Linked DNA regions of Saccharomyces cerevisiae S288C. The protein of the gene in region 1 interacts with the protein of each later gene in a biochemical or structural test. Each region holds a gene or a part of one and is shown in the gene's direction. Other genes may lie near its edges.

Region 1 (5,871 bases):
TTGTATTTATGTCTTTCAAGTTTCTTCCTTGATTTGCACCCTCCGCTGCGATGTGTACAGACGTTGCTTTCTTTTCGCTGGACTGTCTGGCCACCTGGTTAGGTGGAGTTTGCTCCACATCCGACCTGAGACTACCCAACTTTGGATCGCTGAATGTAACAGTTGGTATCCTTTTTAACCCTGGCTCTGGTGTATTACTTACAACTGCCCCAGAAGTTCCGCTAGCATTCATGATTGACTTAGTTTGTGAACCAGTGGGACTAGTTGATTTCCTTACTACAGGAGTGTCCAGACTAGAAACGGAAGAAAATGGTCCCGTAGAATTTGTGTCAGGCATTGCCGATGAACCTATATTGGCCTGCTCAGCTCCAGAGAGAGTATTCGAAGCAACCCCTTTCCTATTGTTCTTCAGGCTAGATTTGTTTGTCATTGCGTCTCTGCACTATAATTATGGCCAGTATTCCTCTTTCTGGTCTCTTCTTTGAACTAAAGTAATCTTATAAAAGGCTATCCTTTTTTTGGCAATCTAGTATTAATCCTGATCAAAAAGTCCTCAAAACGAGCCCTCTTCAAAGTGCTGTAACACCATTCATCTCATAAGGGGAGGGCATACTGAGCAATAAAACGTTTTCTTACCTTTTCGGTCTTTTGGACTCTCCAACCAGAAAGTTAAAGGGCAAAAAAGCTCACATGACACGCTTGTTTTGGAAAACGTCATAGAAAAACCACGTGAAAAAAAAAAAAAAAAAAAAAAAAAAAAGAAAAAGAAAAAGGGCAGCTGCCAACTAGTACACACTACACAGATATTTATGAAAAACACTAACTTCTCCTTTTGGAACTGTTGACGTACCTTCCCTTACCAATGCGGACGTTATGCTGCTTCAACCCAGTAATTGCAAATGGAGAAATATAGTTATCCGCAGAACCGCCACCAATCCAATTGTTTAGAATCTTCTCGTTGTGTCTTCTTGTCCATTCTTCTTGCTTTATCACCTTTTCGTACTCCTTTTGATCTTCTCTGAGAATCACATTTTCCTGTGGTTTAGAATGTACGTGTCCCTTTTTGCCGTACCTTTTTTGGGAGTTCTTAGATAAGGGGCTGGCTACAGAATATCTGTTTCCTCTATTGTTCCATTGGAAGTTCGACTTCAAGTGCGGTGTAACGTTCCCCGTGCGTGAGTCAACGGAAACTGCGCATCTTAATAAGGTACCCTGTCCACCGCATGAGGCACAGAAGTGCTTTGGCTTGCCGTCTTTTGGTAGAGGAAATATTTTGAAACAGGCGTGGCATCTTAGCATATAATTACGGATTCGCTTGATTTTCAGACCTGACATGAAATTCATTAGATTTAGATTCATCTGCAACGCTACATTTTGGACGGCAAAATCGCCAGTCGCCAATGCCACCTGATTCTCTGGTCGATTCAATGCGACATGGCGATCCTCTTCGGACGCTTCTACACCCAATGAACCAGTGGTATCTTCACCACTATCCTTAATAATTGCTTCTGTTAAGTTCTCGGGGGTAATCCAATCACCATCATCATCAGCATCCTCGAATACTTCATTTAAATCGGAAGATTCCTTTATATTTTCATCATTACATATCTGCTCTTTGGATCCAGCCTCCTCAACATGTTCCTCAGCTTTACTCTCTAGCTCAAGGTTTGCATTTTCAGCTTCTCTTGCTTCTCTTGCTTCTCTTTTTGCCTTTTGCTTTTTTCCACCTCTTCTCTTGTTCTTTTTTTTTGGAACACTTTCAGAGTCCTCCTCCTTTTTATTATCTTCTGTGAGCTTCTGTTTGCCGTCCGTACCAACGTCAGCCTTGGACGCATCTAATGCATCACCTGGTTTTTTCCTCAGTCTCCAATCGCCATTATTTAGTTTAATTTCTAACTCGTATGTCAAAGCAAGAATATGCAAATCATTGGCACTCAGTACGGAGTAGTCACCGGTCAATTTGGCGAACGTACTTACTTTGGCTATCGAGTTTTCACTTGGATGTACTAATTTCAAAGTTCCGAGGCTCTGCCAAATTTCAAGGTTTTTCCTTGCTTGAGCATCCTTAATTTCTTGAAAAACTGTGGGAGTAGTATAAAAAGACTGTGCATAATTCTGGTAATGTGTGTAGGACTGCGTAATTAATGGGGTGGCATCCAATATCAACGCCCTTACATGTGCGGTTTGGTTTTCGGTCATATTATGCTCCTTTAAAGAAACTTTAGAAAAATACTGAACTATGATCGCCGATGAGATTTATCTAGCGCTGACTGAACGACCTCTATGTTAAGAACATACTTGAGATAATGGTGCTGTTTCTCCATGTAGACTTCTTCTTAGCAGGTAAAAATTTGCCAATGCAAAACAAAGCTCATCGAAAAATTTTGATCTTGCATTATGGAATGTCCGGGTTTTTCTATTGAGACATTCAAATTTTGAATTCTTCTTCAATAGAACCAGGCTCAGCACAGATACAAGAGAAATGATAGTAGATAATACCGCCATAGTGCTTATGCATCATCTGCTAATTCTTTTAAGAATGATCTTCTCAGTCTTACACTGACGAGCACTATATTGATGACTTTGATCACTATAAACGAAGCCAATATAAGCACTTTAGGGTGTAAGGTCTCAAGATGAGTTGATCATATGCGATATATCTTTGAACGCTAATAATTGAACGAAAGCACTATGACAAAGTAATGGCAGAAGTCTTTTAAGGTTAAAGAGGTAGTTGTTTTAAGGAAACGAAAAAGAAATGCCTGTTGAAAAAGATTTAAAAACTGCCTACAAAGCTTTGTATGATGAGAAGGAACCACTGAAGGCCCTCCATCTTTATGATGAAATTCTCAAAGGCTCACCCACAAATTTAACGGCTCTCATTTTTAAGGCAGCATGTCTTGAAAAGCTATACTTTGGGTTTTCTGATTGGCACAGCGATGCAACTATGGAAAACGCAAAGGAACTTCTTGACAAGGCTCTAATGACAGCTGAGGGTAGGGGCGATAGATCGAAGATTGGTCTTGTTAACTTTCGTTATTTTGTTCATTTCTTCAATATCAAAGATTATGAACTGGCCCAATCTTATTTTAAAAAAGCCAAGAATCTTGGTTACGTTGATGACACTTTGCCTTTATGGGAAGATCGTCTGGAGACAAAATTGAATAAAAAAAATAAAAAGCAGAAGGATTCAACTAATAAGCATACAATTAAACCAGTGGAAAGTATTGAAAACAGAGGAGATAATAATTCTTCTCATAGTCCCATTTCACCTCTCAAAATTGAAACCGCTCCTCAAGAATCCCCTAAATTTAAAATCGATTGGTATCAATCCAGCACCTCTGTCACTATATCATTATTTACTGTTAATCTTCCTGAGTCTAAGGAACAAGTCAATATATATATTTCTCCAAACGATAGAAGAACTTTATCGATATCGTACCAAGTACCGAAATCTGGATCTGAATTTCAATACAACGCTAAGCTTTCGCATGAGGTGGATCCAAAAGCAGTGTCATTAAAAATTTTCCCAAAAAAGCTGGAAATTACCTTGAGCAAAATTGATAGCACGCAATGGAAGAAGTTGGAAGAAGATATTTTAACGGAATCCTCAAGGTTATCAGATGAGGGTAAAAATTCTGATTCTGCAACCCGCTTATTATCAGCAGAAACGGCATCAAAAGAGAGATTGTCTTATCCATCGTCCTCTAAAAAAAAAATAGATTGGTCTAAACTTGACATTGATGAAGAAGCTGATGAAGAAGCGGGATCGGCTGATAGTTTCTTTCAAAAGCTTTACGCTGGAGCGGATCCAGATACCAAAAGGGCTATGATGAAATCCTTTATAGAAAGTAATGGTACTGCATTGAGTACAGACTGGGAAGACGTATCTAAGGGAACGGTTAAAACTTCACCACCAGAAGGCATGGAACCTAAACATTGGTAAATGATTAGTATATACCTACACAATTACAATATGTAGATATATAGTATGGTAGTAATGTTACATTTTCGATTTAGACTAGCCAACCTGCGTATTTACTTGGAATGCTTACATGATTATATTGAATATTACAAATTTTATTATGTCCATATTAATCCAGAGTCACGGTGCAATGGAAAAAGGAAAGGGAGAATGATAGAATAAAAGAAGGAAAGAAAGAGACAATGTAGCGAAGGCTAGAAAGTGATGTGAAAAAAAAAACCACAAAAAAAATAAATAAGAGATCAGAGGGTTAAATGAATGCGCTTTTAAGAAATTCAAATATCTGTAAAGGAGAATCCATTCAATTTCGAAACTTGCTCATTTTTCCATGTAATAAAATCCTTATCATTTTCATCTTCCATCATACTGGTATCATCAAATCCGCTTTCAATATCTTTTTGTTGAATGTTTAATTGAAATTTACCTTCTGGCGACATGGAAAGTTTATATATGCTGTGCTCAGGTTCTTTATAAGGACTGCTCAATTTTTGTGCGTAATCTTCTAATGAGCTTTTGCGTTCCGGGCTTCGTACATTCTCCTTACCCGTGGTGCCAGTCGACCTTTTAAGAAGTTCTAAAGCCTTTTCTTTAGTTAATTGAGGGATATGACTACCCTTAGTGTCGACTTTGTTCAGCGGGATAGGAAACAATTGGCGTGGTTTTACTGCATGTTCGCCATGCGTATGATTTATCCTAGGCGATGATGAAAGATCGGATGATCTGTTTCTGTTTAAGGTAGGTCTCTCTATATTCCCTTTGGAATTCCTAGATATTACTGTGGGTGCTAGTAATCTTGTTGCTCTTCTGTTCGGACTAGATAACTTCGTTGTTCCTTGCATATGACGAGCAAGCGAGTTCTCTTGGGATAGATCATTCTTTGTTAAGCCTTGTATTGTTTTCTTTGAAGGCGTTTTATAAGTAATGTTGGCATCATTTAAATTCAAACCAATCGGTACCCTGATGGAACTTTCTGTGGCCTTGAAAGTGTTTTTTATGACTTTATTCTCTTTGTTCGCACCACATTTTCCCTTTTTAGATCTCTGCATTCTAACTCTACATCTTGGATATTTTGCTTCGATTTCCTGTTGCTGAATGTCAATTGCTTCTGAAAGTGGCTTACCTTTGAACAAAAAAGGTTGATCAAATAGACCATCGGCCTCTTCTAATTTAATTCTTAAATCATTGATGACTCGAGGAAAGTGTCTTGTTATCCTTTTCCTCATTTTTTCTTCAGTTAGTAATATCTTATGAGAATTTCTAGACAAAAGCCGTGAAGAGTCTTTTGAACTTCTTTCCAAAAATTCTTGATCTTCTTGTAAAGATTCAAAATCTGATATTAATTTTAAAATTGGCTTATAAAGGGTCAGTTTTTCTTCTAGTCTTTTTAGCTCATTTTCGCAAGTTTCTAGAAGAAGCTCATCTTCCTGTAAAGTTGTTGCACTGTTCCTTAGTTCTTCAAATACAATGATGAATTTAGACCGACTTTCTTCTGAATACTGTAACGTACGCCACAATTCCTGAATTTTGTCCCAGGAATCTGATATAAGTTTTTTTATTAGTTTTTTTTTCATTGCTTCAAGTCGCATAACTTCTTTAGAGATTCTACCTAAGGACTCGGTTGATAAACTTGAATTGTTACGCATAAAAGTCTTTATGTATTCTTGAGAAATTTTTAGCCTTGTCCAAAGTTTTTGGCATTGTTCCATCAGGAGCCTCTTTTTGTCTGCTCTTTCCTTATGGATAGCTTGCAGTTTTTCCAATGTAATATCAATTTTAGACATTCTTTCTCTGTCTACCGGGTGGAAATTTGGTATTTCTGATGTGGAGTTTTCCTCTTCTCCATATGATCTTAGATCTTGTTCAAAATCTTCACCGATTAACGTTGC
Region 2 (4,032 bases), on another chromosome or scaffold:
TAAGGGCGTTATTCGACTTATATGAGCATGGGGTATATTATTGAGGTAGTTAATACTAGTCATCGTAAAAGCAGAAGCACGAAACAAGGAGGCAAACCACTAAAAGGATGGCCCCAAATCAAAGATCACGTTCGCTTCTGCAGAGACATCGAGGAAAGGTACTCATTTCATTGACTGGAATAGCTGCTTTATTTACCACAGGGTCGGTGGTAGTGTTTTTCGTGAAGAGATGGTTGTATAAACAGCAGTTACGGATTACTGAGCAACACTTCATCAAAGAACAGATCAAAAGAAGGTTCGAGCAGACACAGGAAGACTCGTTGTACACAATATACGAGCTACTTCCTGTATGGAGAATGGTTTTGAATGAAAACGATTTGAATTTGGACAGCATCGTTACCCAATTAAAGGACCAAAAGAACCAGTTGACTAGAGCAAAGTCTAGTGAAAGCAGAGAAAGTTCGCCGTTAAAAAGTAAAGCTGAGTTGTGGAACGAGTTAGAACTAAAGAGTTTGATCAAGCTGGTGACAGTGACGTACACAGTATCGTCGCTGATTCTTTTAACAAGACTGCAACTAAATATCCTGACAAGAAACGAGTACCTGGACTCCGCAATAAAATTAACCATGCAGCAGGAAAACTGCAACAAACTACAGAATAGGTTCTATAACTGGGTTACATCGTGGTGGAGCGATCCGGAGGACAAAGCGGATGATGCAATGGTAATGGCAGCAAAAAAGTCAAAGAAAGAAGGCCAGGAAGTGTATATTAATGAGCAAGCTTTCCTATCACTATCATGGTGGATTCTTAACAAGGGGTGGTTGAGTTACAATGAAATAATTACAAATCAAATCGAAATTGAATTTGACGGCATACACCCAAGAGATACTCTAACGTTAGAAGAATTTAGTTCTCGTCTCACGAACATATTCCGGAACACGAATTCCCAAATATTCCAGCAAAATAATAATAACCTCACGTCTATTTTGCTTCCTAAAGATTCCAGTGGACAGGAGTTTCTTCTGTCACAGACGCTTGACGCGGATGCTTTAACAAGTTTTCACTCTAACACACTAGTTTTTAATCAATTGGTGAATGAACTGACCCAATGTATCGAAAGCACAGCAACATCCATAGTGTTAGAGTCTCTAATAAATGAATCATTCCATTTCATAATGAACAAGGTCGGCATAAAGACAATAGCCAAGAAAAAACCTGGCCAAGAAGATCAGCAACAGTATCAAATGGCAGTTTTCGCTATGTCGATGAAAGACTGTTGCCAAGAAATGCTTCAAACAACTGCCGGGTCTTCCCATAGCGGCAGCGTGAACGAATACCTGGCCACTCTGGATTCTGTGCAGCCGCTCGATGATCTGAGCGCCAGCGTATACAGCAACTTTGGCGTCTCCAGCTCGTTTTCCTTCAAGCCTTAATCTCTGAATAAGTACTGACACTCACACCAGAATATATATATATATAGCGTAATCTTTAATACAGTAAGTGTGCAATAGGTAACATGACATTACCCTGCAGCGATTTAACGGGCGTCTTGGAGAAAAGAAGAGAAAGGGAAGAAATAGGTTGATATATTGAGGGCAGAGAAAGTGATAGCCCAACGTTGGCAAAGATATAACAGAAAAGACGTTATAAACAATACAGGAATACTAACAAACGTAGCGCAGATATGGTGACTTCTAATGTTGTCCTAGTGAGTGGTGAGGGTGAACGATTCACCGTAGACAAGAAAATCGCGGAGAGATCCCTGCTATTGAAAAACTATCTGAACGATATGCATGACAGCAACCTACAAAACAACTCAGATTCAGAATCAGATTCAGACTCGGAAACGAACCACAAAAGCAAAGACAACAATAACGGTGACGACGACGATGAGGATGACGACGAGATTGTGATGCCCGTGCCCAATGTTCGGTCTTCCGTTTTGCAGAAGGTTATCGAATGGGCCGAGCACCACAGAGACTCTAACTTCCCTGACGAAGATGACGACGATTCCAGAAAGAGTGCTCCCGTGGACTCATGGGACAGAGAATTCCTGAAAGTGGACCAAGAGATGCTATACGAAATTATTCTGGCGGCAAACTACCTCAACATCAAGCCCTTGCTTGACGCTGGCTGCAAGGTGGTTGCTGAAATGATCAGGGGAAGGTCTCCCGAGGAAATTAGAAGAACGTTTAATATCGTCAACGACTTCACTCCAGAGGAGGAGGCTGCCATTAGGCGTGAAAATGAATGGGCTGAAGACCGTTAGCCTACATTTCCTCTGATGACTGTGATCCTTTCTTCCGATGATAATGCGCCATTTCAGAGCAAGATAGGCAAAAATAAGCAAACAAGGCTTGCTGTCATGCAATGTGTACGTTAGTCCACCATAACCAAGCATGTATGAATTATATATGTATACAGTTTACATAAACTTCAAACTACAATAAGATGTGTGGTCCATCGTCGTGTGTAGCGATAGGCGTCTTCTAAAAGCCGCAAAAGTGACAAGAAGAAAAAAGGAAAATTATTGAGTTATAAAAGCTATTGTTTACATGATGAGACGGGATAAATTTAGGACAGATAGCTGTAAACACTCCGTTTTGAATCATATTTGTGAAATATTTGGTCTAAATTTTAAGTCAAGTTTATTTTCTTCGAGCATTTCAACACCAGCTTAACCCTTTGCTTTAAATTATTCATCTAAAATAGGGTATATTGATTGCTAATCACATATAAATATATAGAAGCAGCAGCTGTACAGATATCCCTAACCAATGAGGGATGAAGCTACTCGCAAAAAAAGGTCATTTAGTGATGGTCATTTTTTCAAGAAACTGAAATTGATGTCAAGGAAAAAGCAACCTGTTATGGAAAGAAGTAAGACCACTCGTACAAGGAAGGAATCTACCAATTCCGCAGCAAAATCATCCCTATCATTAAGAAGGGCCAACAATGGCAGAAAGACCATCGCTAAGAGAAGAGTACTGACCGACATAGGCTCTACTAATGAAGGTGTTGCCGGTAACTCTGGTTCAAACTCTCCTGCTCAATATTCTCATACTCCTCATTTTAGTGATTCTATCCCACCACTGCCTTTAGAGCTACCAGATATCGTCTCAATAAGGAGTAGTAGAAGTCATATTAGTAATAAGAGTAATAAGAACAAACATGGTATAGACTTGACTTTCATACCTCGAAGATCGCTACAAAATTCTAAGGCTGGCTTGAAGAAACCGAATACTTCTCCACAAGGTTATTTTAATATTCCAGTGACTATAGATAGAGCAAGTGAGAAAGTCAAACATACTGATACTAAAAATACATTCAATTCTTCGTCTTCTGAGAATGAACGACCAGTTTTGAGCATCTTACAGAAGGATGACTCTCAAAGTTCTTCGCACCCAGCTATCGATTCAATGTCAGCACCCAATAATATTAACAACAATAACGACATTGAGAATTCTTCAAACAGTCTATTTGATACTATTCTATCAATTGCTCATAGTGCCATATCTCATGTCCCTAAAATTTCAGCCTTAAATACTGAGATACAACGTGAATTTTCGCATTCAGGTGAAAGTCATACAGGTTCAACTCGCCATCCTTATTTCCATATCCACCACGCGCAGCAGCAACATCCCTTGTCACAGCAACAAGGGCCCTTACCTGTTTCCGAAAATGCTAACCAAAATCCCAATGACACAGTGCTCATTCATTCCCCCTCCGCTAACACAGCCCACCGCAGTTCATCATTTTTGCGTCATTTAGATTATTTACTATCCCCCACTTCTGGTCCAGCCTCTGATAAACATACTCAAGTAGAGGAAGGGGATGACGAGGAAGAGTTATCGCCTCTTTCCAAAGCATTTCTTTCACCATCAACTCAACTGGTACCTACAAATACATCGACTACGCCCCTTTCAGGTTCTTTGACACCTAACAATAGAAACGTAAATGCAAACTCTAACTCTGAAACCGAGAACGACAATGATAGGGATGATAGATCAAATGTTGGCAAAGTGAAATTTC
Region 3 (5,406 bases), on another chromosome or scaffold:
CAAGATTGTTAATAAACCTAAGGACGTTCTTATTGTTATTGATCAATTGATAGATGTTGTTCAGGAAAAAGATGAAACAATACAGGAAGTAGAAGCAGATTCTGACGACGAAGTTGAAGAAGGAGAAGAAACAGAAGAATTGGATCCAAATGAAAATTCTTCCTACAAAATTATCTTGCAGTTATTATCAACCGTCCTTTCAGAATCGTCCAGTAGTATATTATTGCAAAACAGTTATATATTGAAATCCATTTCTAGAAAATTACAATCTTTCAACACTAATGCTTCCGAAATAGATGCATTATTGGCATCAATAGATAATATATTGATTAACGGACATACTACGGAAAGGAACGACAACATAGAAATTGAGATGGATGAGGAAAGGCTTGACAAAGCGATAACTAGTCTACATGATCCTTTAGTGCCCATAAAATCTTATGGTTTAACAGAACTACGTCATCTAGCTGAAAAGAAGTCTCCAGTAATTTCACTGGAAAAGGTGTTGCAAATACATTTAGATTATTTAAAGAATATGGACCCTTTCATTTATCTCAACGTTATTAAAGGACTTACAACGCTATGTGAATTAGAGCCAGAAACCATATTGCCTCTACTTGCAGAATTTTATGCTAACAAAAAAAAGAAAAACAGATTAGATGATGTGCTGAAAGTTGGAGAAGTGTTCATCAATTACATTCAACGTCAGAACGAATTGTTCCAGGGTAAATTGGCTTATCTGATTATAGATACCTGTCTTAGTATTGTGAGGCCAAATGATAGTAAACCATTGGACAATAGATGGCGTATGTCATCCATGTCAATCTTAGGTATGTGCCTTCAAATCAACGCCAGGGGTGTCTCGGATAGAATTCGCGATATGCTGGATTGTGTATTTGGAATATTGCAATTAGAACAACCACAAAATCATTTGAAGGACAAGGATGATTCTTTTTTGATGAGAAGAAGTGCCGTACACTTGATACATGATTTGTTGTACAGTACAGGATTTGATTTACTTCCCTTTGAGTACAACTACGATAAGCTAAAAACACTATTATCTTACGTTCGTGATCAAGATGAAGATTACATGGTTTGTGAACAGATTGACAAGCTTTTAACCGTACTAGATAGTTTATAACCCATTACGCATTTGATTATAATTTGCTTCTTAGGCAAAATTAATATTTACGTTCTTTTATATTCTTTCTTTTTGTATTCATAGAACAGCAGCCATTACCAATAGAAAGTTAAAATAGCCGCCGATGCATTTTATTACCCGCCTTTCTGTTTTCTGGGCACTTTTCTTTCTAGAAGGTGAAAGAACAATTTTTCTCGTTTTCTCGAACTTCCACCAAGCGTTGGGTAATGAGGGAGGAGATTTGTATAAAAAGAGTGGCATGTGAACTGCCTACCGTAAGTGACATGAACACATGCATTATATTTTTTGTGATATATTCTTTCTCTTGTTTTCTTTTTCTTGAAACGCTACAGAACCAATAGAAAAATAGAATCATTCTGAAATATGGCTGGTGAAACTTTTGAATTTCAAGCTGAAATCACTCAGTTGATGAGTTTGATCATCAACACTGTCTATTCTAACAAGGAAATTTTCTTGAGAGAACTGATCTCTAACGCCTCCGATGCTTTAGACAAAATTAGATACCAAGCTTTGTCTGATCCAAAGCAATTGGAAACCGAACCAGATTTGTTCATTAGAATCACCCCAAAACCAGAAGAAAAAGTTTTGGAAATCAGAGATTCTGGTATTGGTATGACCAAGGCTGAATTGATTAACAATTTGGGTACCATTGCTAAGTCTGGTACTAAAGCTTTCATGGAAGCTCTATCTGCTGGTGCCGATGTATCCATGATTGGTCAATTCGGTGTTGGTTTTTACTCTTTATTCTTAGTCGCCGACAGAGTTCAAGTTATTTCCAAGAACAATGAGGACGAACAATATATTTGGGAATCTAATGCCGGTGGTTCTTTCACCGTTACTTTGGACGAAGTTAACGAAAGAATTGGTAGAGGTACCGTCTTGAGATTATTCTTGAAAGATGACCAATTGGAGTACTTGGAAGAAAAGAGAATTAAAGAAGTCATCAAGAGACATTCTGAATTCGTTGCTTACCCTATCCAACTTCTAGTCACCAAGGAAGTCGAAAAGGAAGTTCCAATTCCAGAAGAAGAAAAGAAAGACGAGGAAAAGAAGGATGAAGATGACAAGAAACCAAAATTGGAAGAAGTCGATGAAGAAGAAGAAGAAAAGAAGCCAAAAACCAAAAAAGTTAAAGAAGAGGTTCAAGAATTAGAAGAGTTGAACAAGACTAAGCCATTATGGACTAGAAACCCATCTGATATCACTCAAGAGGAATACAATGCTTTCTATAAGTCTATTTCTAACGACTGGGAAGACCCATTGTACGTTAAGCATTTCTCTGTTGAAGGTCAATTGGAATTTAGAGCTATCTTGTTCATTCCAAAGAGAGCACCATTCGACTTATTTGAGAGTAAGAAGAAGAAGAACAATATCAAGTTGTACGTTCGTCGTGTCTTCATCACTGATGAAGCTGAAGACTTGATTCCAGAGTGGTTATCTTTCGTCAAGGGTGTTGTTGACTCTGAAGATTTACCATTGAATTTGTCCAGAGAAATGTTACAACAAAATAAGATTATGAAGGTTATTAGAAAGAATATTGTCAAGAAATTGATTGAAGCCTTCAACGAAATCGCTGAAGACTCCGAGCAATTTGACAAATTTTACTCTGCCTTCGCTAAGAACATTAAGCTGGGTGTACATGAGGACACTCAAAACAGAGCTGCTTTAGCTAAGTTGCTACGTTACAATTCTACTAAATCTGTCGATGAATTGACTTCCTTGACTGATTACGTTACTAGAATGCCAGAACACCAAAAGAACATCTATTACATCACCGGTGAATCTCTAAAGGCAGTCGAAAAGTCTCCATTCTTGGACGCCTTGAAGGCTAAGAACTTTGAAGTTTTGTTCTTGACCGACCCAATTGATGAATACGCTTTCACTCAATTGAAGGAATTCGAGGGTAAAACTTTGGTTGACATTACTAAAGATTTCGAATTGGAAGAAACAGACGAAGAAAAAGCTGAAAGAGAGAAGGAGATCAAAGAATACGAACCATTGACCAAGGCCTTGAAGGATATCTTGGGTGACCAAGTGGAGAAGGTTGTTGTTTCTTACAAATTGCTAGATGCTCCAGCTGCCATCAGAACTGGTCAATTCGGCTGGTCTGCTAACATGGAAAGAATCATGAAGGCTCAAGCCTTGAGAGACTCTTCCATGTCCTCCTACATGTCTTCCAAGAAGACTTTCGAAATTTCTCCAAAATCTCCAATTATTAAGGAATTGAAAAAGAGAGTTGATGAGGGTGGTGCACAAGATAAGACCGTCAAAGATTTGACTAACTTATTATTCGAGACCGCTTTGTTGACTTCTGGTTTCAGTTTGGAAGAACCAACTTCTTTTGCATCAAGAATAAATAGATTGATTTCTTTAGGTTTGAACATTGATGAGGATGAAGAAACAGAAACCGCTCCAGAAGCTTCTACCGAAGCTCCAGTTGAAGAGGTTCCAGCTGACACCGAGATGGAAGAAGTTGATTAATCTCTTTTTTCGCCTTCATGTTTTATATATTATATAAATTTGTTTACTTATTTTTACTATTTGTAATAATGATTCTGCTTTACGCGCCTTTAAAAAAGTTGGTCTTAATGTAAACATGAACCATAGCACACAATTTAAGACATCAGCTGTCAAATGACCATAAAATTGTCCTACCAGCTGTCCTTAAAGTTTAGTGTACACTTACGAATGACTTATTTACTCACCTTTGCAACTTTGTTCAATAAATTCATTGATCTTTTCAAGTTCCTGACATCTTTTGTAACTGGCATAGAGCTTCAGACTTGACCAGCCTATAGCAGCAGTACCACAACCTATAATATTGAAAATCATTCTAAATTCCGAAGGGGAGCAATTCGGCGTCCATTCAATTTTAAACTTTCTCTGTATCCATAGAAAAGCATTCAATAGAAGACCTCCTGTACATTTACCAACAAAGGGCCATAGTATCTTTTCTGCAAGAATAGCATACCAATTCCGCCTGATAAAAAATTCCTCAGCTGGAACGCTATTACTAGAGTTTTCAAAATTTCCGTGATACAAATACTTACCTCCTTTATTGATCAGCCTCCTGTAAATTAAGTCAACCAATCTTTTAAAGGTAAAATTATAGCAAAATGTAGCCAAGTTAGAATACAAAATTATTTTAGGTAAACCTATACCCTTGTAATATTTGTTTCCAGCAGTTTTTACAATACTGAGATACACCCACTTAAAGAGTATTGCATTAGCACTGACGTTAGAAATGTTGCTAAGATAATGTATGAACCCATATATTATGATCGAGGAGGTTAAAGGAATGCTTAATAAGCCACGTTCAGTTTGCGCATATACGTCCAATGCCTTTGTAGTGCTGATGTTTAACATATTTCGTAGAACATTCTCAGGGAAAAGGCAGCGTAGTTGCCATAATCCAATGTCAAAACTTGTCTTTTCAGGGTTTAAAAGAAATAAACTAGTTATCCCTAATGGTATCACGTATCGTGTAATTTTTTGCCACTGATAAAACAGGGATAGTACAGAAGACTGGATGGTTACTGTAGGTCTTTTTATGAAATTTGTTTTCTTGCATTGAGGACATTCGCCAAATTTCACTAACACATAAGGTGGATGATTATCCCGTTTGGTATAAAGAGACATTAGATTGAACACGTAGTCATTTTGAAACGGTACTGATTTTTGCCCCCAAATGGGACGAGTTTCCCATATTTCTGTAAGAGAGAAAGTCGTCATAAAATCATGGTGCCCATCAACGAGACATTTTAAACAGGTGATTATAGGTAAATCAGCATCCTTTGGTAGGTCCACTGTGTTCGGAAGAAAAAGTTCAACATGCATTTGATAGAGCCATCTTATATAGCAGCGTTTATGAATTTGTAAGTTGCAACCGCACGTGTGCTGTAGCCATGTAGAGTCATATGTGGATTCTTCCAAACATATCCAGCATATGCATCTTTTTTTTATGAGAGATAAAAAAAAATGAGGTGGGGTCATATAAAACTTGGACTATTTCCTTGGAATTTTCTTGTTTGTAAAATCAGAGCAGAGCTCTTTTATTTACTTTTGTTTTTGACGATGGGGACGAGCGATGTACTCACATCTTCGATATCACTTGCCTGAAAATATATAAATGCGTTAAACGATAGAAAATCAAAAACATCGTTCTTTTCACTAGAATATTTTAAAGTCAAAACATAACACTTTACTATTTACGTAACGAAGTCTTGTAGTTGTATATATTTACA

The links.
Region 2: the proteins of SGT1 (region 1) and SKP1 form a complex in vitro, tested with the Saccharomyces cerevisiae proteins (6 studies listed by BioGRID, with this or other methods).
Region 3: the proteins of SGT1 (region 1) and HSC82 form a complex in vitro, tested with the Saccharomyces cerevisiae proteins (2 studies listed by BioGRID).

The regions. Positions count from the first base shown.
Region 1 is NC_001147.6:429,428-435,298, forward strand, and holds SGT1 (co-chaperone SGT1), read left to right. Parts: upstream 1-2,758; coding exon 2,759-3,946; downstream 3,947-5,871. Other genes in the region: phosphopantothenoylcysteine decarboxylase complex subunit VHS3, read right to left, coding at 1-430; NOB1 (rRNA-binding endoribonuclease), read right to left, coding at 820-2,199; ASE1 (Ase1p), read right to left, coding at 4,261-5,871. UniProt on the Saccharomyces cerevisiae protein: Involved in ubiquitination and subsequent proteasomal degradation of target proteins. Required for both entry into S phase and kinetochore function.
Region 2 is NC_001136.10:1,123,671-1,127,702, reverse strand, and holds SKP1 (SCF ubiquitin ligase subunit SKP1), read left to right. Parts: upstream 1-1,684; coding exon 1,685-2,269; downstream 2,270-4,032. Other genes in the region: PEX3 (Pex3p), read left to right, coding at 108-1,433; YSP2 (Ysp2p), read left to right, coding at 2,778-4,032.
Region 3 is NC_001145.3:630,830-636,235, forward strand, and holds HSC82 (Hsp90 family chaperone HSC82), read left to right. Parts: upstream 1-1,525; coding exon 1,526-3,643; downstream 3,644-5,406. Other genes in the region: RTP1 (Rtp1p), read left to right, coding at 1-1,141; YMR187C (uncharacterized protein), read right to left, coding at 3,860-5,155. UniProt on the Saccharomyces cerevisiae protein: Molecular chaperone that promotes the maturation, structural maintenance and proper regulation of specific target proteins involved in cell cycle control and signal transduction such as CNA2. Undergoes a functional cycle that is linked to its ATPase activity.